2 linked regions of the Xenopus tropicalis genome follow. The main gene of each other region encodes a partner of the protein of the gene in region 2 in a complex. Links are inferred from orthologs where the notes say so. Each region holds a gene or a part of one and is shown on either strand. Other genes may lie near its edges. The genes, in order: prkab1 and prkaa1.

What was found.
Region 1: the proteins of prkaa1 (region 2) and prkab1 are in contact, whole or in part, in a crystal structure (PDB 6C9H), measured with the Homo sapiens proteins. The link is inferred for Xenopus tropicalis from reciprocal best matches to the Homo sapiens genes PRKAA1 and PRKAB1. Residues at the interface, in NP_006242.5 of Homo sapiens: Gly20, Val22, Lys23, Ile24, Thr32, Lys40, Lys42, Asn59, Arg60, Ile63, Arg64, Val69, Ile72, Arg73, Ile76, Gln77, Val93, Ser95, Thr96, Pro97, Ser98, Asp99, Ile100, Phe101, Met145, Met175, Ser176, Asp177, Gly178, Glu179; in NP_006244.2 of Homo sapiens: Pro79, Val81, Arg83, Leu103, Pro104, Thr106, Val113, Ile115, Asp159, Phe160, Glu161, Val162, Phe163, Ala165, Leu166, Met167, Val168, Asp169, Ser170, Gln171, Arg201, Ala202, Pro203, Pro204, Ile205, Leu206, Pro207, Pro208, His209, Leu210.

Annotation. Positions count from the first base shown.
Region 1 is NC_030677.2:151,374,924-151,379,488, forward strand, and holds the start of prkab1 (5'-AMP-activated protein kinase subunit beta-1), read left to right. Parts: upstream 1-1,697; 5' UTR 1,698-1,793; coding exon 1,794-1,937; intron 1,938-4,565. UniProt on the Homo sapiens protein: Non-catalytic subunit of AMP-activated protein kinase (AMPK), an energy sensor protein kinase that plays a key role in regulating cellular energy metabolism.
Region 2 is NC_030677.2:195,921,029-195,924,066, reverse strand, and holds part of prkaa1 (5'-AMP-activated protein kinase catalytic subunit alpha-1), read right to left. Parts: coding exon 2,953-3,038; intron 2,353-2,952; coding exon 2,128-2,352; intron 1,467-2,127; coding exon 977-1,466; intron 66-976; coding exon 1-65. UniProt on the Homo sapiens protein: Catalytic subunit of AMP-activated protein kinase (AMPK), an energy sensor protein kinase that plays a key role in regulating cellular energy metabolism.

The sequences.
Region 1 (4,565 bases), about 45 Mb from region 2:
TATTAATGCTTCTCTATTTACTCCATTCTTTAACTCATCTGTAACAATGAAAACATGTGGCCTGCTAAACAAAACCTTTTATCAAGCCACAAAGCAGCAGTGTATATTATTTTAGAAATATCACAAGGTGTCACTGCTTGACAGCAAATGCAGTATAGAAAAACATTACCAGCATAGAAAACATTACCAAAATGTTCCTGCCATAGGTTGAGTTAAATACAGTGTCAGTCTAGTACTAATCTGCAAACTAAGATTTCATGATGGGGCTCTATGTATATATGTATTTATTATATTCAAACATTATGCCAGTGTAATTAAGCCTTAGTACCTAGATAAATTCCATGCCCTAAGGTTACAAAACTAAAAATTAATAAAAAAAATAAACAAAAAGCAAATAAAATATGAAGACCAGGTACAAATTGCATTAGAAGTTAGTTATCTGTACCAAGTTTTTTGCGGGACAGTCCCTCTTTTGACAGCTCAACCCGCAGTCCTGGATTCTTACTGAAAAGTCCCTCGTTTCCCTTTGATCTACTGCACCGAAGCTAAAAATGATACAAATTTAATTAAAAAATGACTTTTGACAAAGAGCCCAGAAAAGTAAAAAGCCCCCCCACCCTGCACTGAGATACCATTGAAACTAATAAGCTAAACAGGTCTCTTGGGGGAACTGAGACTTGCTGCTTAAAGGGCAACTTCACCTTTTTCAGCAAAACTGTAATAATACATAAAAATAGACCCCAAAACCCCCAGAAATGTGTTAACTTTGAATAGTAAAATGGGCATGCCAAATGTAATAAAATGGGAGTGGTATTTAGGGGGTGTGGTTGCAAAAATGGGTGTGTTCAAAAAGATTTGCCGCACTGTGAGCAGTGTCCCTCTTTCTGGTCTCAAGATGTTGGGAGGTATGCTAATGTGGCAAATCTATTGGCAGTAAAATGCCAAAAAGAGACCCAGACTCCAGACTCCTCGTTTTAAAAGGGAACTACTTCCCCCCCAGGCAACTTTTAAGCCTTTGATACAGTGCTACACTAACTCCACCTCCCCCACAGCCCCAAATGTATCTGATCATCTAATCACCTGTACAAGTATCAGATCCAGGAGCATGTGCATGGTCTACTACTGGCCCAGTGTGCATGTTACTGTTAGTTATAAGTTAGAAAACCAAAAATGTGCAAATGTGCAGGCACTAGCCCTGCTACACAGCTTTGCACCCCAGGAGCTGCTATGGAAGTACAGATACATTTGGCAGTGGCACTGTTGGTGTCATGAAGTCTTTCTTACTTTTCTCCTACAACTGTTTAAACTGTAGTTTTAGTTTAATTATTATTAATAATAATAATAATCATTTGACATTATGCAGTAACCCATAGCAACCAATAAGATTTTTGTTTTTAAACAGGCTACTTGCTGGTTGATTGCTATATGCAATTAATTAGATATAGTGCAGCTTTTTACTACCCAACCTCTCAATCTCATAGCAGTGTCAATATTCTTATAACCCTTTTTAATATTGTATACTTTTCCTACATCTGCAAACAACGACCCCAGTAGAGGAATTCCAATTCCAACTATACGCAGATATTAATTGGCACCTATCCCTTTATTGTCACTGATATCACTGACAGATAGCTGGAAAAGGAGTAATGGAAAAAAACAGATCGAACGTCATGTGCGACAACGAGTCTTTGAACGCAATATCGTCACATCCGCAGCAGGAAGCGGAAGCGGCGTGATAAACAAAGTCCTTTCTGGAGGTTTAAAGAGCGATACCTGCTCGTAAAGTGTGGAATATGGGGAACACAAGCAGTGAACGTCCCGGTCCCCACAAGGTGCGAAGAGATAGCACCGGAGCAGTGTCGAAAGGGGATGACAGAGCCAAAATACTGATGGACAGTCCTGAGGATGCGGATATGTTCCCTGCGGAGGAGAGTAAGGTAGAGAAGCGGCTCGTCCTGCAGCCATGTCCCTGCGAAACATCGTCCTGGATTAGTACAGGACAAGTTTAGGCTTAGTCCGACCTATGTCAGATCAACAAGTTTTCACTCATAAAGTGACCATGATACAATCTTTTAATACTAAAGTGTAATTGCTTCCTACACCAGCCTGTTGCTATTGGTTCTGTCACCCAGTATCTTGTCTCTCTTCTTGTCCACATAAATGGCAAAAGGAAATTCAAAAAGAGTTGCACAGTACCGCCCAGCAGTGGTGAAAAGGGTACATCACAGTAGTGATATTCTCTTCTCTGATTGGGGCAAATTTGTATAAACACAGGGCCAATTTGCACCGTGGCAACCAGTAAGAATTCTACTTTCAGACTTGAAAAATAAAATTGCTGATTAGTTGCTATGGGTTACTGCCCATGTGCAAATCTCCCCATTGACTTTAAATGAGCCCCATTATGTCTTAGAGAGTTATAAGGCAGATCATTAACAAGTAATGCTCTGGGAACTGGGTTGAGTTGCATATGCCCCAGGCCCTCAGAAAGGGTTAATAGCCAGGAGCAGAAAAGTTGAGCAAGCATCATGTGAACAGGTGTAGTAAAAGCAACAAGTCATGTATGTAAAATGTGTATATGCACAGGCTGAGAAATAGCTCCTCTGCTGGCTGCACCCAGTGGCACCGCTGACCTGGCTGTAGATGCATGGTGCATTTAGGCGTTACATGAATACATGAGTATACATTTCCAGTGACCTGTCTTTCTCCTGAGACAAGAGGTCCTCTGCGCTCACCCAGTATTCAAATATAAATATATATGATGGACATTAGGACATTATGTGCATTAAACTATTAAATAATGTCCTCTTCTTAAAGAAAAAACAGGAATTGTTTGACTGTATATTCCAGGTAAAGATACCTCCTGTATGAATCTTGTGTTTACAGCCTCATTGCACGCCCAATAAATGTTTTAAAATTTAGTGGTGAACACAACTTTCCCTTTTTTCCTCTGTGTCTCCACGCACTGTAGTCTTGCTGCTGCTGGTACTACTAAAAAACATTTTCTGTAGAGAATGAATAGTATATGGGTGTGTAACAACACACTAAGTACTAAGTCCACTGCATGAATTAAGAGCGGGTGGAGGTGTAACCAAACTACATAAACCAATAATAAACAATCCAGTATTTGTCCATCCTTGGCAGAGAAGTTTTACTGTCTGCACCCAACACTTCATCAAGTAAATTGGGGATTCTGTGTAGCACCTTTATTTAACCATCATGTCCCCACACTATAGGCTTTCATTGAATTCTTTAACCAGACATTGCTATTCTGTTTCTTAGTTGCTTAGTAAAATGAAGAGAGGTTGATGGGTAACATTAGAATGGGGTAAGGCTTCTTCTTTGGTAGCTCAGTGGTTAGCTATGCAGCCTGGCCTCTCAGAGTTCCTGAGTTTGATTCCGACATGGGCGGGTGCTCCAGTTTCTTTATACAGTCAGGTTAATGTGCTCCTGGTGACATTGAACCTGCTGGGTGTAAAAGTGGTAGGAAAGTTAGATTGTAAGCTCCAGTGGAGCAGGAACTGACGTGAGCAATTAGCAAGCTATGTAAAGCTTTGTGTAAATGTGTCAGTGCTATGTAAGTAAAAGATAAAATAAAAATGAATGGTGATTGCCTGCAGCTTGGGACTATGTGGTGTAGAGAAAGTAAATAACGGAGAGCAGCTATCTGATAGGGGACAAGATGCTGATAAAGACTGAGCTGGAACTGGTATTTTACAGAACTACTTTTCTTGGTTACATATTTATATTAACTTTAACCAGAAATTCTTAACCCATGTGTGCCCATTGATTTTTAGCAAGGATCAGCATGATGTCAGAGATTTTCCATGAGGTTCAGTATACATGCCTTGTGCAGCTGCCTATAGGGCCTTCTCATGGATATTCATCAGCCGAAGCAGAGGCACAAGTTCATGGCCTTTTATTAAGTAGATGTACTGTATAAATCATTTGCCCTGGGTACAGTGTAGAAAGTTGATAGTGCCTTAATTCATGCAATAAATGTCAAAACCATATTTAGTGGGTATTACGGACTTGAATAGTGATCATTGGGAGAAATGTTAAGTAAATACATAAATATGGGCATGGCTGTATCAGTTGGTTTATTCTGCTGAAGACTTTATTATAGACCAAAAGTATTTAGGTTTGTTCCCATAGATCACAGTGAGCATGTACTGCAGGAATAGAAACAACCTTTACTCATATTTGTCAGTCAAGTGGTATTTCAGTACTCCTGTTAATTGAGGATATTAGAGTCTTATAGAGACACATGGTTCCTTAGTGCTTCTCTGAGCATATCTGATATTTCATTTAATTCCCAGCTGTTTTCTAGATATTTATATAATCTTTAGCTCGGCTCCATGTGACTGTCTGCCACTGCACCCCAGGCAAACTCCTGCAGCTCTGCACAACTATCTATGTCTGTAAGGATTATGCGATCCTTGCCTCAACTTGTTTGAACCTGCCTCAATGTTTTAACCTGCCCGATTTTAAGCCAGATATTGGTTAGTGAGGCCCATACACAGGCAGATAAGTTGCTGGCTCAGTCTGAAGGGGACAAATCAGCAGCT
Region 2 (3,038 bases):
ATCTTAGTGTACATGCTAGTAACGGGATTCTTCCTTCTTACGCGCAGGTAGTATGGATTTACAACCTCAATATGGGAAAAATAATAAGGGAAATTAGTCTCTTGCACATGGATCAAATGTAGTCCCTTGCACATGGATCAATGCAGTTATGAATCTGTCGCTACAGACTTAAAGGAACAGTAACACCAAAAAATAAGTGGTTTAATGTAATTATAAAATATATTGTACTGTTGCCCCAACACTGGTAACATGGGAGTGTTTGCTACAGAAACACTTCTATAGTTTATATACATAAGCTGCTGTGTAGCTATGAAGGTAGCCATTCATAGGGGAAAAGGCTCATGTTATATAGCAGATAAGCTCTGTAGAACACTATATTATATTTCACAGACCTAATCTGTAACCTGCTAATTAACCTGCACCATTAATCCCTATTTCAATTGCCTCCATTGCTACACAGCAGCTTGCTTATATATATTATAGTAGTGATTCTGAAGCTAACACACCCATTCTAGCTGTGCAGGGCAGAGGTACACTTTATTATAATTACTTTAAAACACTATCATTTTTTTCGAGTTACTGTTCCTTTAAATGGACTTATCCATCCCATGAATGGGGGCCCACGCAGTGTTGGACTGGCCCACCAGCATACCAGGAAAACTCCCGGTGGGCCCAGGGGTCAGTGGGCCCTCCTGCTTCTGGTCATTTGGCCTGTTTCATGGTCATTACCTATTTCTGAATGGGAACAAAGAGGAGAAATAGATGGAAGAATAGATGCTAGCATGTAAATAAGAGAGACTAGGAGAATAAAGTGGTTTATTGAGAAAAGGAGGAAAAACTGTTCAGAGATTGGGCCCATGGTCTTAGGTTTTCCAATGGGCCCCTGGGTTCCCAGTCCGACACTGGGCCCACGGCACCTCTTCCCTTACAGTGTTAGTAAAAGCTTGCAGAAAGAAACCCAAGTGCAAGAGCTTACCTTCCACTCATAGCCCAGCTGTTTCATTGCTCGGCAAACCTCTGCCATGATATCGTTTGGGCGGCTCTGACTTCGAATGCCTAAATGCCATTTGGCTCTTCTCACACCAACCTGGTGTTTGGTCTTTTGTGGGTTTAACTCATCGAGAGTGTGTCGTTGCCGGGGTGACTCGGCCACTAAAAAGGGAACTCTCTCTGGGTGAGGCCGAGCAACTTGAGGCTCTTCCATAAAGGAATCCGGAGGGCTGGTAGCCAAATAGAAGTCTTTGGCCTCATTCATTATGCGGCGATTATCTATGATCAGATGGTAGGCGACTGCCAACGGGTCCTGGTGGTTGCGACTGTACAAGCAGCTCAGCACTTCCTCCTCCAAGCACTCGCACTTCTCACACACTTCTTTTAAGGCTTCGTCGTCTATCATATTGGAACTGTACGATGGATCCTCGGGAAACAGATATTTAGGAAGATCTAGCTTGAACCATTCATGTTCCCTAAGAGGCAGAGTATCAGTTTAGGAATACAAGAATATTAAATAAATCTAGTTTTTTACTTTTGTTTTACAGTAATGCACCGTTAAGCATAGACTCCGGCTTGGGACTCCTCTATTTACATGGGAGTAGGAGAAACAATAGGTTACCTGAAAGCAGTTCTAACATGGAGCACTGGCTCCTTCTGAAAGCTCAGACTCAGGCACAATAAAAGGCAAATCACTTGGGGTTCCAAAATGTTAGGCACCCCCAAGTGACTTTAATCGCTTACCTTGTACCCCCGGCTGGTGTCCCTGTTTGGAGAAAACAGCACCAGCCCGGGGTACCTGTAGCGAGCGCTTCCTCCTTCGTTTTGCTGGCAAATTCCCGGAGCATGTGCATTAGAGTAAAAAGCCGACTTCTCTGTTAAAGTTCCACTATTCACCCTACTGAGCATGCGCGCGCAAGCGAAAAGGAAGGAGGAAGCGCTGCACCTGCCCCGGGCTGTTGCTGTTCTCTCCGAGCAGGGGCACCAGCCCGGGGTAAAAGGTGGGCGATTTAAGTGACTTTTGCCTTTCCTTCTCCTTTAAATGGTATAGTGAATTATTTGCCATGTAAATAAGTGTAATTTAACAACATCATGACAGCATACCTTTAAGTGGTTTTTAACAGTTCAAGAACTTACCGAATATCTTTGATGGTTGCCCTTTTCATGGGATCCACCAGCAGCATGTGCTTTAGAAGGCTAATGACGGGAGGGTTCAGGTACTGGGGTGTGTAGAAGATGCCATCACATATCTTCTTAAAAAGTGTTGGCACATGATCATCATCAAAAGGGAGAGTTCCACAGAGTAACGCATACAGGATGACCCCGCAGCTCCATATGTCCACCTCTGGGCCAGCATAAAGCCTGCAACAACACATGGAGAGGTTCAATGCCTATTTAGTACAATCTGACTTACTGAGTAGGAAGGTGGCGGCAATGGGTTAGCTGTGGTGGGCCTGGGTCTGTTGGCAGATGAGCCCTTTTGGGGACAACTGGAGTTTAGGCACCATTCCAACCATAGCTCATTCTGGCCAAGATAGCTAGAATAGAGGGAAACTCTTTACAAGTTAGAATTTTCAGAGACTTCAATAAAAACCCCAGTGCCTCCAGGGATTCCACAGGGCCAGAAAAAGAAAAAAAAACATTTATTTTCTGAAGTTTACATTTAAAAAAAAAGGCCCAGTTGTCCTGCATGTTTTATGCCCAGGCACAGTACAAAAAAAACCAAAACAAACATTACATATACATTATAGCCAATAAAAAGAGGTTTTCACCATGTTCCTGAATCCTACCCGCAAACACACTCCAAATGCCATACACACTGCCCAAAGGAACAGACCAATAAACGATAAGGAGTTTGCTTACTTAGGTGATTCAGAGATTCATTTCTAACAGGCGGATACTGCTGCTACAGTGCCCGTCCCATATTTATTACATTAAGCCTCACTGAGGTTTACTACATACCTTCCTGAGATAACTTCCGGAGCAGCGTAATTAGGGGAACCGCAGCTGGTTCGTAGGAATTCACCATCAGCCATCATGTTAGAGAG